Linked DNA regions of Kluyveromyces lactis. The protein of the gene in region 1 interacts with the protein of each later gene in a biochemical or structural test. Links are inferred from orthologs where the notes say so. Each region holds a gene or a part of one and is shown in the gene's direction. Other genes may lie near its edges.

The links.
Region 2: of the proteins of HSL1 (region 1) and HSL7, one has a biochemical effect on the other in vitro, tested with the Saccharomyces cerevisiae proteins (2 studies listed by BioGRID, with this or other methods). The link is inferred for Kluyveromyces lactis from reciprocal best matches to the Saccharomyces cerevisiae genes HSL1 and HSL7.

The regions. Positions count from the first base shown.
Region 1 is NC_006042.1:1,252,924-1,260,038, reverse strand, and holds the start of HSL1 (protein kinase HSL1), read left to right. Parts: upstream 1-3,329; coding exon 3,330-7,115. Other genes in the region: glutamine--fructose-6-phosphate transaminase (isomerizing) GFA1, read right to left, coding at 1-295; metalloaminopeptidase APE1, read right to left, coding at 798-2,357.
Region 2 is NC_006039.1:1,372,676-1,379,585, forward strand, and holds HSL7 (protein arginine N-methyltransferase), read left to right. Parts: upstream 1-3,232; coding exon 3,233-5,569; downstream 5,570-6,910. Other genes in the region: protein kinase MEC1, read right to left, coding at 1-2,068; cyclin-dependent protein kinase regulatory subunit CKS1, read right to left, coding at 2,477-2,875; KLLA0_C15851g (uncharacterized protein), read right to left, coding at 5,649-6,910.

The DNA.
Region 1 (7,115 bases):
AATTCACCTGTTTTGGCTCACCGTGTGTAGCCCATCTGGTATGAGCAATACCACAATGAGTGACAAAATGCGCGTCCCTGTTTGGCTTATGAGCTTCGATCTCTTTCTTCAAAGCAGAAACTTTACCGATTTGCTTGTAAATAACAGTTTCGTCTTCTCTGTCACCATCAATAGCAATACCAGTAGAGTCATACCCTCTGTACTCTAATCTCTGCAAACCTTCCACTAAAGTATCGATGATCTCGCCACGAGATTTCTCAACTAAAAAATTACAATAACCAAAGATACCACACATTCTATCGCGTTCCTAAACTATCTTGCCTCAGCGTCTTTTCTAATGCTACCGCTGGAACACTTTAGAGTTACTGGATCCTTTGTTAGCTTCTTTCCTTTCGAACGCTTGGCATAAAACCCTGAGTGAATAAGTCCAGTTTATATTTATACCATATGTGTTCTTTATTTATATAACACAAAAATTTTTTTGTTACTATAATTACCAGTTTTAGAAATGTAAATACAGTGTGATCCATAAAGGCTTGAAACAGAGAAGACCAAAGGACCAGAGGTTTGAGTTGTCCTGATGGAGGTTGTAATTCGTAGGGCCATCCTGTATCTGGTGTAACTGGTATAGTTTTGTTATGTAGTACTATGATGAGGTATGAATTGCATGTCTTTGCGTATAAGATTCATAGTTCAAATTCAGACATGTGGGCCCAATTCATTAGGACGATCATATTTCAGTAAGATTAGTAACCGTAGTAGGGGTTTATAGAAATGGAGGTGAGTTATGATTTTAATCACAAATCACCAAAGGATTGGTAGACTTGGTTCCAGTCGTTGTAGAATCCGTTAAAGAATTTAACTGCCAAGCCGATATCTTTACTACCAGTTGTAGCTCTAATGCTATGCATTGACCATTGAGCAATACCCATATCAATGGTTCTAGCACCTGTTTGGGATGCTAAAGAAGGACCAATGGTGCCTCCAGATCTGGAATTGTTCTTGATTTGGAAGTATTGGATCTTGTCCCCGTTCAATCTACCCAATTCTTCCACCAATGCGGTCCCAACAACGTCTGTAGCCATATGAGCGTTGGAATCCAATGCAAGGGTGATCCCAACGTTTGGCTTTGGTTTATGGTTCTCTAAATATACTGAGTTGAAGTTTGGGTTTAACATGTGTGTGACGTCTGCAGAGATGATGATAGAGTTGGCGAATGCCGTACGCGTCTCAGAGACGTCGTTTCCCCTGCTAGCAACGATTCTTTCGACCACTGATTCTAACAATCCACCTTTAGCACCTTGTCTTGTCAACGATCCAACTTCTTCGTCGTCATAAAGCACTGCGACGTTAAATCCATCCTTTTTATGGCCAGTCTTCTTGTGCTCTATCAACCCATTGATGGCACTGAACGAGCAGATTCTGTCGTCAATACGAGGAACAAAGATGAATTCGTCTTTAAGACCGCCGAAAGTACCCTTTTGCACATCGAATAAGTCCAAGTCAAATTGCGTAATGGCAGACACTTTAACGGATAGTAACTTGGCAATGTATCTCAATAAATGGATACTATGTTTGCCGTACAACGGGCTCTTCTTTTCATCCTCGACGTCGTGGTCCTCATCATCATCATCGTAGTCTCCATTACCGACGTAGCCAATCACGGGCACAGTTTGGTCCTCCTTATCGAATGGACCAACACTTGGTGCACCGAAATGTGGTGCCAAAGATGGAATCCTAGCGATAGGGTGTGGAGCCGAGTTGCACAAATGCGAACTGATCTTACCAGTATCAGGGTCCTTAATTAGGACACGACCACCGATCCCAAGGTCTCTGTCTAACCACAGTTCATTTAAAGTACCACCGTATGGAGCTACACCTAACAATTCGAATCCTTCCACATCAGGTTTCTTAGAAGAAGGTTTCAACTTCGCAGTTAAGGCGTCAATATGGGCACCAATGATACCAACACCTAACTCAGGTTTCCATTCGGGTCCCACCGCAAAGGCACAGAGGTTTGTACCATTTCTGGTCGTATAGTAATGGCCCGGTTCAACGTTGGACCAAGAACTCTTTTCACTGAGATAACCGAAGCCATTCTCTTCCAATTTCTTGGCAAAATACTTGACGACGTGGTAAATGGTAGGGTTTTCATATGTGAAATCTATGTACTCTTGCGAGTACTCTCTGAACGTCGCTTTGTTCGAGAATTGGCTTTGCTTACTAGTCGACTTCTTGGTAACCTTGTCATTTTGGTTGTTAACGTCTCTTGACCTAGGTTCAATGACGGCTAGTTGTTTCAAGACGTCGCTTAGAGCGTTGATAGTTTCTTTGCTTATTTCGATGTGTTCTGTCATTGGGTTGCACTTTTCGGATGGTGTTTGTCTCTTTGAGCGCTGTTATGTTATCAGTGTCTTTATCTTTAATATAGGGGAGAAGAAGAAACTGTGATCGATAGACGTTAAAAGTAATTCAGAGTCCTGTACAGCGAGCGAAATATGACTTGAATTGGGAGCGGAGTGTGAATATCGAGGGATAGTAACGTTATTAAGCGTTGTTGAAGATCAATTAGTTACTATTCTCAGGGGAGAGTGGTGCGAGATGGTTGCTATAAGATATCATGGATAAGTTTAAGTCATAGTTCGTATAGGCAACAGAATTGATAAAGGTCACGTGACAATATCTAGTTGTTTTCGGCCGTGTAAATTCAAAGGTCACGTGGTTGTGCCTATATTTCATTCAGATAAACCAAAAGTGCTGATGCCCGTGCCCGTGCCAGCACACTGGCAGCAACCAACACAATTATTGAACCAGCGCCGAAAGCCCTGGTTCAAATCTATCACAGCAAGTTGAACTTGCCATGTTCTCGACTTTACTGCTTCTGCCAATTTTCGCGTTTTCGCGTCTTCGTCTTCGCGAACAAAGCTCAAACTCGCGTCTTGCTAGTATTTACTAGTCGTGCAGAATGACTTCAACTATTTACCAAATAAAGCCCTTTCATGAAATATATGCACACATAACAATGTTTGAATCAGAATTTGAAACCAAACAACATCCAAGAGAGAAGACACCAAGCAACGTTAACATCATCAGTAACGCTGATTTGTCGCTCTGCTGGAACTGCAAATTACAAGGCTAGGTCTACCATTTGAATTATAAGGAAGAAGAAGAATACTAATAATAATAAGAAGAAGAAGAATCATTGATTTGATCACAGAGTGTGTTTATTTTCCAATCATTACATTCGCTTATCATACTTAAACACTCACACACGCTCTCTTCTGCTCTTTTGCTTTCTCAATTTCACTCGCTTGCTTTGTTTGTGCTAGATGTCGTGTGCTGTTCAAGCTGCCGTTGTGGCAATGAAGGATAATTCTAGTCACGGCCAGGTCCCATATCGTGCAAATAATGAACATTTGAATAGGGTTGTTCAGTCAGTAACAGACGCTACTAAGCGTCTTTCACAGATTTCGACTGCATCGTCGAATGCTAATGTTAATAATACCAAGACTTCGAAGAGGAGAAACCGCGATACGGTAGGTCCCTGGAAATTGGGTAAGACTTTGGGGAAAGGGTCATCGGGTCGAGTTCGTCTAGCAAAGAATATGGAAACGGGGAAACTGTCAGCGATTAAGATAGTTCCCAAAAAATTCGTTAAGTCGAACCAGATCAAACAGCTGCCATATGGGATCGAACGTGAGATTATCATTATGAAGCTTATCTCGCACCCCAATGTGATGGGTCTCTACGAGGTATGGGAAAACAAATCTGAGTTATATTTGGTATTGGAATATGTTGAAGGTGGTGAATTGTTCGACTATTTGGTCTCGAAGGGGAAGTTGCCGGAAAGTGAGGCTATCCATTATTTCAAACAGATAGTACAAGCTGTAGCATACTGCCATGGGTTCAATATTTGTCATCGTGATTTGAAACCAGAGAATTTGCTTTTGGATAAGAAAAAGAGATCTATCAAGATTGCAGACTTTGGGATGGCTGCCCTAGAGACTTCGGATAAACTGCTGGAGACCTCGTGTGGCTCACCACATTATGCTTCTCCTGAAATCGTTCTGGGTCGGAAATATCATGGATCCCCAAGTGATGTTTGGTCCTGTGGTATCATCTTGTTCGCCCTGTTGACTGGACATTTACCCTTTAACGACGATAACGTCAAGAAATTGTTGTTGAAAGTACAGTCAGGAAAATATCAGATGCCCCAATGGTTATCGGTAGAGGCTAAAGATTTAATTTCTAGAATCCTGGTGGTAGATCCAAATAGAAGAATTACTATTGACCAAATCTTACAGCATGAGTTGCTGACGAAATATGATCAGAAATCTCGCAGTAAGTCTAATTCGGATTTGAATCTGTTGAATCGTACTCCAAATATTGTGAGCTTTTCGTCGGAAAGGGACATCGATGAGACAATCTTATCCAACCTACAGATCCTATGGCACGGTGCTGCAAGGAAACATTTGGTGACAAGACTTATGAAACCAGGATTCACTGAAGAGAAAATGTTTTATTCTTTACTATGGAATTATCAGGAGAAACAACAGAAATCGATGCAAAAGGATTTAATACCTGTTCCTACGTTGAAAACATCGTCCGCTTCCTCGGTCAGTCCATTGAATATTTCATCTGATGTGAATAGTGTAACAAATACAGCGAAAAAACAACAACAATCAAGTAACGGAACTGTACTGCCAGCATCGATGGCTCCAACAATATCGGCCTTTGGACAACAAATATCATCTGATAGTTCTGAATCTAGTACCCTACAGGCTCCAAAGATCCACCAGAAATCACATTTCTCGATAAGTTCCTTGAAAAATGGAAGTTCAAAATCTCCAAAGAAGACAAAACAGGGATTCATTGCTTCTTCCTCCTCCTCAAAACTTTTCCAACCAAACTTTGGCGCAAAATCTTCCTCACAATCGATATCAAAATCCAGCTCTAAGAAGTCATTGACTCCTACCACTCCAAAGAAAAGAACGTTACAAAACTCAGCTTCAAAGAGATCGTTGTACTCTTTGCAATCTATTTCTAAACGTTCAATAAACTTGAACGAATTGCTTCATGACGAGTTGCAACATGAATATCCACCTCCGCCTTTACCTTCTATTTCATCCTCGGAGCACACTTCATCCAAACTTGAATCTATTGTGGACGATTATGATAGAAGTACGTCTGTGCATGGTGCAACGATGGATAATTTCCTCGGTGAATCTGGTCAGCACATGAAAGCTCAACAGAATGAAAAACTTACGCAGCCATCGAAGAATATACTGGCACAACCAAAACTGAACAATCAGCCACAGACAGAAAATAGACAAAGTGTGACATCAATGAAACGGAAGACGGCTGATAACACAATAGCGACTGTTCCTGTTTCTATGACTCCGTTGAAGGATATGACCAATACATTCCAATCCAAGTCCATGTATGTCTCATCTTTGGACCCCAAACGTAACAAACCTAAGCCATCACTTGAGAACCTTCTAAGGAAGGTCAGTGTTCCACAGAGAATCAAGTCAAGATCTACCATTAGAAAGCTAAGAGATAGTGGGGATTGGACTGTAAGCGGAGAGGCGCAGGCTTTGTTTGGTGGGAAAGGTTCTTCGGAAGGTGAAAATCAATTGCAAAGGCAGAAGACTAATCCAAGTAAGTTGACAGCACCGGAAACCGTGTTAACTACCAGTACACCTATGACTGACATTAAGCCTGATCTCTTACGCATGCCATCGTCGTTGATCAATTCGTCAATGACATTCAAAGATCTCTCTCAGTTTATCATGAATATCGATGAGGATAAAGTACCAGTTACTCAGGCATCTAATCCTGTTAATACTGATCATGAAAAACTCTCGGAAAATCAAACTTTGATGATTGAAAATGATTCGAACCGGTTTGAGACCAGTTCCAATTATGACGATTATAACGTCAATACTGCACCAGCGGTCACAACAGCCGGTGACATCGATATTTTCGAAGACGCTCCAGACGATGCTAATGAATCTGTTACTACTTCTGAGTCAATGATCGATCAGTCACAGCTTAACTTGAAGAAAAAAGCTGCTTCTATCGATTCAATCGATACAAGTCATGTCCTGACACCAGCAACGGATGTAAGAGTCAGTTTATACATCAATCAAATGGATAAGCTGGATAATTTACCAAGGGAAACGACAGAACAAATTATATCTAAGTTCAAATTGAGTCCCATCAAAGATATCAAACAAAAGCGATTTTCGAATGGTGACAGAGATTTAACCATCACCGGTTCTATGATCTCGATGTTCAAAGATCTCGACGGTGATGAAAGCCGTGCTGAATATGACGATAATGGACTGGGACTCCTAGGAAGTGCATTAGATACACGTCCAGTCGAAAATGAAACCAATGAAGACACAAACGGCACTACCGTTAAAAGAAATTCCACTGTTCTTGTATCTTCTATCAATGGCGATAACCTGGACCTATCAACAGAAGAACAAAAGAACGATGATGGAAACCATGGTCAAGGTCAGACTAGAAGGGTGACTTTACTATTTGATGACGGAAGTTCTGAATCCGAACAGGTCTTCAAACCCGTTGCCGCAGAAAGAAGACAACCGACGCTAAATGCCAACAGTACGACGACAAATAACGTTGGCAGCAAAAGGAAATCCAACTACATAAACAAATTACCAAAGATCAAAGAGGATGAAGTGAAACCAATTACCAGTATGAAGTCTTCCTCCCCCGTTAATTGGTTCAGTAAACTATTACAACGGATTAAAACCTCGAAACCAAAGCGGACAGTATATGAATACCGGACCTCAAGTATACCGTTTGATAACATTCACATCTTACTCATGACGCAATTCGGTAAGAATGGTGTAGATTGTGAGTTAAAAAAGATGGAACGTAAGGGAGATAAAGAGTACGTGACGTACGATTGCAATTTCGGTGGTATTAAGAGAAATCGACCCAAGAGTAAATTTACCGTTGAGATGAGATGCATGAATGGTACGGAGACAGTGCTAAGTCTGGAGACTCGCAGTAAGAGGTTCGTTAACGATAAGGATACTATGGCATCATTTGAACGGTTCAATAAAGACGTTGCCGGTGCAATT
Region 2 (6,910 bases), on another chromosome or scaffold:
GTTTCACTAATGCTACTGCAAATATCTGTCTACTGTTCCTGTCTAAAAGCTTTAACTTCTTTTCCTCTACGAGAGATTTGTCATTACCGGACATGATACGAGCTACCTCAGTGATAACATCGCTCTTATATTGACCTAAAGCAGAAGGGACAACATATCTTTGAAAGTTCTCCAGTAGAGTCTTTGCAGGATAATCAACAAGTTGAACAATTCTCTGTAGACCTAGTTTCTTCTCAACCAAGCTTCTACCCATCTTTTTGAATAAAACAGGCAAAATTGGCGATAATAATTGGTACGGAGATTTCCCTTGAATTTTAGAGAGATACCGTAATTGTGCCGCCATCATTGTGTGCTCTGCGAAGTCACTCGAATTAAAAAGATCTATCAATTTCAAAAGCAAATCATCGAAGTATTCACTATTACAATTAATGATTAGGTTAATCCAACTCATATGTAAAGTTTCCGTCAAATATGGGGCCTTAGGCTTCTGAAGAAATATTATTAGGAATTTCAGGTTGATGTCTTCATACTTTGAGCCAAGGCTAGCAAAATAGGGAAGAAGGCGAACAGATAGAAGGCGTAAAAACCTTGATCTGCTATTAGATGCTCTTTGAAAGACCTGTAAACAACCGTAACCATCACTTTGTTGAATTAAGTCTGAAGTCTCTTCAAGTTTTGGAGGTTCAAATCGAGAAAATACTTCTATCAAAATAAGGACAACACCGGTGAGCATGGCTTCTGGCATATCTGTAATGGGTATGCTTTTTATAACGTGCTTGGCCAATAATTGAAATGCCAAAGACTTGTGCAATGGAACCAAGTTTAAAGATGATAGCCTCATATTTTGAGAGGCATTGAATTCCACCTGTGGAGATCTTACAAGATTGTTATTGACAAACTTTTCTTTTATAGCCAATTGTCTGATGGAATGCATCGAATGTGTCAATTTTGCGGTGTCACCATCCTTTATCGTGTTTAGTAATGATTCTTTCACCTTATCGTAGAAAGATCTTATATCAGCACTATCAGCTATACAATTTCGAACATTCCCAGAGACTAGACGTAGCTTCGGATTTTCTATGGCTTGATGAAGCCAATGCAATTGCTTATTAGAGAATGTAAACTCTTCCATCGATTCCAGGAACCCTAGTTTCACTGAAACGTATTTTATCGATCTAATAAACAGGGGATCAGCATTCTTATTCGTGTTGATCCATTCATGTAATTCGAATGTATTCTTGATCTCTGCCAACTTTGATTCGTCATGGATACAAAGGTACAAAGTCCGTAACAAAGTCTTGGCTAAAATGGTCGGAGAGATATGCTGATGATGATCTTTAATTAAAGTTTGTATGAGGTCAAACGAGAATCTGAATATTGACAATGACTCTTTAGATAAAGAGATGTAACGAACAAGTAATTGCAAGATGCTCGCAACTTCGACACTTGGTTCGTTAGTTGATTTCAAAACAAAGGCTAGCAATCGCATCAATTTCTGAAACTGACTTTGCCATCTTCTATAGCTGTAATTTCGAAGTAGTCCATCCCTCATAATCCAACCGTTCACTATCACTATTTTTTTCAAGAGGGAATGAAACGTCGGCTTCTCTAGCTTACCTCTCAGACATGTTACTAGTAACTTTTCATACTGAACCATTTGTTCAGTGAACCAAATCTGTAAATTGGAGGTCGATGCAAAAGAGTACGCTTTTAACCATGCACTCACGTATTTGTTTATAAGCCAAATATATTGCATATTGGACCAATGCATTAGCGAACAACTAACCATATTGTTTAAAATAACCTCGATCATAGTAATCTCTTTAACATTGGCTGAGAAAAGGTGTTGGTTGCATCGCAGAAATAAATCAAGTGCTTGAAAGGATTTGTGAAAGATCACCTCATCCGTATTCGTAGATTGCGTATTCTTCAACAATGTCTGTAGTAATTTCCCATTCTTTTCATCTAATTGCAAAGTGCTATCTAACTCTATACCATTTCCTACAGTTCCTGCTGATTTTAACGCCAGTATCAGTTCTTCCAGATATTTTACCCTAGGATTATCCATTTCCTATACGCTGAGAAGATATTACTCTTACACGGCAACTGCACTCTCAATCACACTCACCTAGGACGCCCTAACGAGAGAAAACTGTGTTTCTTTCATAGTCCAGCGTTTGTTTTTGGTTAGTTTCATTATTTATAATTTGACTTATATACAAATTTTGGTATCAATAAGGAATCTCAACACATACATAAATGTGGTATGTACATATGCTAAACACTTCTCCAGAAGTACAATTCAGGCGTCTTAAGCCATTTGCAAGTTTGACAACAGAAGACTAACTTACACAAAGTGTGCAGCCAGGAATTGCAGATCTTTGGGGAAACATTATTCTCTCTTATTAACAGTGTAACGCGTAAAACTGGAATACGATTTTCTTATTATTTCATTTTAAAGTCTTTAGTGGGTAGTTCATATATTTTGACTTTGTTGGCCTGCAGCAATTGATTTTTGCTGCTGCTGTGCGGCAGCATGCGCCGCACGTATTTCAGCCTCGTAATTCAGTGGTCTCTTAAATAGTAAAATATGTGGTTCAGGCGCATGGCATTCGTAATGTTCCCATCCCAGAGATTGTGTAATTCCTAACCCTCTCCATTCGTCTTCTGTTAAGATTCGCAAAGTACCAGTGTCTCCGTTGAAATAATCAGAAGGTATCACTTTTAGCATGGCCTTGGGAAGCATTACATGTCTGTATTCGTGTGTATCGTCGGAGTATCTTGGTGAATAATGAATGCTATCTTGAAATTCGAGAACTCTCGTTCTTTCCTGATCAGAAAGCTTTCTGCCTTGGAAAGCGTGCGTCGAATACATTGTTAGATTCGATCACAACTTAAGCTATACAATTGGAGTGTTAATTAACCCTAGACTACTGATGCTGGATCTTATTCGCTCATCACATATCATGTCTTTAGCATAACTGAAAAGATCTTAGGTATTAAAATAGTATTGTTTACAAAAAAAAAATGAAAATAAATATTGTTTAGGACAGAAACCAGATCCGTCACTATTGATGGTCAGAGATGAGGTAAAAGAATAGGACACAGAGCTATCACTGGTGTAGTGTCTACCATAATTACGGTATAGCTGAAGAAGGGTTTACCAATAAACGTTTGACTGTTGTTGTGAAACTGTTCTGCGTGCTGCGTTTGTGTGTTTGTATGTGCTGAAATGGCAAGTCGAAGTAATGTTTTCGTCGGGATCAAACCTCACAGTGAACATTCCGCTGATGTTCTTGGAACTTCTTCTACAGATAAAAGAGTAGAGAATTATGACTATGTGCTGCTGCCCTTGACAAATACCAGATACAAGGATGCCATGAAGGCCAAGTTTGAAGATTTTCGAGATCACGGTCATGGATGGAATGAAGAACTAAAGTTAGATCCTCCTCAATTGCAAGAGCTGGGGGTATTGCCATCTAATGGAAATGTTTCATATATTGGATTGGTCTCTTACTTTTTAGAGCTCGAGAGCCATGATGCTGATGTCCGGACTTTATCTTTGCAAGTGTTGGAGCACGAATTGCATTATGCAAATTTCGTTGGAATCAGACAGGTTATCTTAGCTCCTCCTAAAAAGTTACACACGCTTCATTACTACGCACAATCTTTGTGTACAGTATTTGATACTTTTAAAGAAGCGTGTCCGACAATATCTATTTCGTTACCTTTGTTTGAAGATTCAGATCCACTTTCGACTTGGGAACTGTGGAACACGATCAGGAAAATGTGCGGATACGAGCCTAAATTGACTGTATCTCTAGCTCTACCTAGACAGAAGACTCCCAGTTTTGTGCTAAACAGATGGCTGAGCGAACCTGTCACATGTCTTTTGATCTCTGCATCCATATTCACAACAAATCAATACAATTACCCTGTATTGAATAAATTTAATCAGCATTTAATCACTGAGTTCCAACGTGTTAACGGTAACGCATCAACATTTGGCGAACTAGCTATCGTTTTACATGGTATGGAGAAATACACGGATAAACTCAAAATTGAACCTACACAGTACCTAGAATACCTCAATTATTTATTGAAAAAGGGAGATAAGCTCATACTAATGGAGACCCAAGATGTTGTCCACAGTGCACCTACAATCATGCCTCCGCTACTACCCCATCATGATAATCTTTCGAATGCAGTTTACCAAGTTTTCGAAAAGGATACTGTCAAGTACGAATTATACGAGAGGGCTATCATGGTCGCTGTATCTGAAATTTTGACAGAAAATTCGTCCAGTTGGAGAGGCCCTACAGAACTTATCACATTAGTTGCAGGTGCAGGCAGGGGTCCATTGGTGGATAAGACATTCCAAGTGTTACATAAACTTGGAGTAACCAACTTCAGGCTATTGGCTATCGAAAAAAACCCACAAGCACTTCTCTATTTACAGAAACGCAACTTTGAACACTGGGACAACAAAGTTGAAGTTATCCGTACTGACATCCGAGAATGGGATGAAAATATTAAAGTCGATCTCTGCATCAGTGAACTTTTGGGGTCTTTCGGCTGTAACGAGTTATCTCCCGAATGTATTGCTCCAATAGAAGCTTTCCATTCAAAACCTAACACAAGGTTTATTCCTCAAGGATATAGTTCCTATGCGTCTCCTATATCATCTCCAATTTTATACCAAAGCCTCATTGAAAAAGGACCAGAATATCTCGAAAAACCTTCAATAATTCACAATGTTCCATATTGCCGTACATCATCCAGAGTAAATGAAATATGGTCATTCTCACATTTGCATCAACAACAGCATCAATTTAACAAAAGTTCAATATCCCACTTTCGAGTAAAGCATAAAAGTGAAATTCATGGTATTGCTGGATACTTTATTGCAACATTATACGGAGATATAACCTTGAGCATAGTTCCAAATGACTCTGTCATTAAAACTTTAGAAGATCAGGAAAATTCTAACATAGATAACTCCAGAAGCCATAACGGATCAACTGCCACTAAAGTGAATCATACGGAAAATATGAAATCATGGTCACCAATGTTTTTCCCCTTGAAGGAACCCTTGTTCTTAAATGATGACACTGAACTTGAAGTATTCATTACTAGAAATGACTTAAATAGCAGAGTTTGGTACGAATGGTCTGTATCATCATTTGTATACCTTGTGTCAAGTTCGGAAATACCAAAATCCGAAGGAGAAAGAGTACCCAGAACTGGATCGAAAGAAAATGCTGATATAGATACTCAGAACCTGACTAAAGCCTTCGCACGATTCGGTCCTCAGAATGACTCCTCAGAAATAGAAGACAAGTATTTTGAAGACTCAATCAATCATACCAATTTCATGTCAGGTAGAACAAATGAATGGGATAGTGTAAAAGACCTGCATGAGATACAAAATAGACATGATTCATCTAATCTAACTAAAGATCAAGAACAACGGAAAAAATCACTAACAGAAGAATATCATGTCAGAGTTAGGACTAATATTTCCAAATTGCATAATCCCAATGGATGCATATATTCGATTCCTCTATAAACAAGGCATTTATAAAAATCGAAGCAAACTTTAACCATTTAGTTTAAATCCGCATATCAATAAATTATTTACTTAATGTTCACCAAGGATTTTCTGTAAGTTTCATTTCATTAGAGGTCCAAACTGCATGTGCAGCGGGTTTTGGTTCGTCCATGTCTTCAAAGGCATTAGATGACACCTCAAACTGATTATCAATTTTGATCTGGTCATGAATTTCGTCTATTTCATCTTGTATCGCAATTGGTAAAATCGGCAAAAATCTATAACTGGACTCGCATTCATCATATAAAAAGTATAGCTCTTGAAGGGTAGGTAGAGTTAGCTTAACAGAAAATTCGATGTCAAGTAAAACGGGTTGTTGATCTTTGATAGCTTTCACCTTTTGCTTCAAAAGTTTCTTCATGCTGGTTTTTCCTTCATTGAGTTCATATCTGTAACGATCCAACGATTTATACAACTGTGTAACGTTTAATCGGCTTAACCTATCAATAGTACCATTCAGAACATCTTCATTCGGATCCAAGGAAGTGGCAACTTGTAACCATTGTAATAGTTGATAAACTGGTTCCAAATGAAATTGCCAGATATGTGCAAAAGATTGGTAAAAGAATAATGAGTTTGATTCGTCCGTACAAGGTTCCTTTTTGATCGGTTTATAGAAATAAACGTTTTCAAGAGGTTGAGAAGGCTTCTTCAGATCAATGGATCCAACATCTTGAACTATAGTCAGTGGGAACCTTTGCCACATGAAGTCATCCATTAGATCGGGCTTCTGGACAGAAAAGTTATGGTTTTTCACCCAATCTTGTAAGATCGAGAGATTCAATCTTATTTGCATCGCGTGTGCTCTTGAAGAGAGTTGCTTAGATTGTATAATCTCGTTGAAAATTGTATTAGCCAACCACTTAGATGATATAGACAAGCACTGTTGCAAAAGAACTGGATGAATGTCATGCAAGTCGAAAACATATGTCAAGGCACCAAAAATCTGAACGATTTTAAGAGGAGAAGGTTTCATTTGTTCCTTTACTGAGGGAGGATACAAAAGCTGAAGAATGTCGTCATATGAATCATGTTTCATACGCTTGAGCTTCCGCTTCTTGAAAAAGTTCCAGTCATTTTTGTACAACGTTTCCTTAACATCAGAGATCGTTGTATATTCAAGGATTCCAGGATGTAATAATGGTTCTAGTCTTGAATTGATGGATGCCGATAGATTTTTTATTAACAGTAGAATGGAGTCTATAATATCCTGTAATAAATGGGGGTATGCAGGGAAGACCATTTCGTCACGATACATGTAATAATACAATAGGTTGAGATATCCCAACGTATAAGATT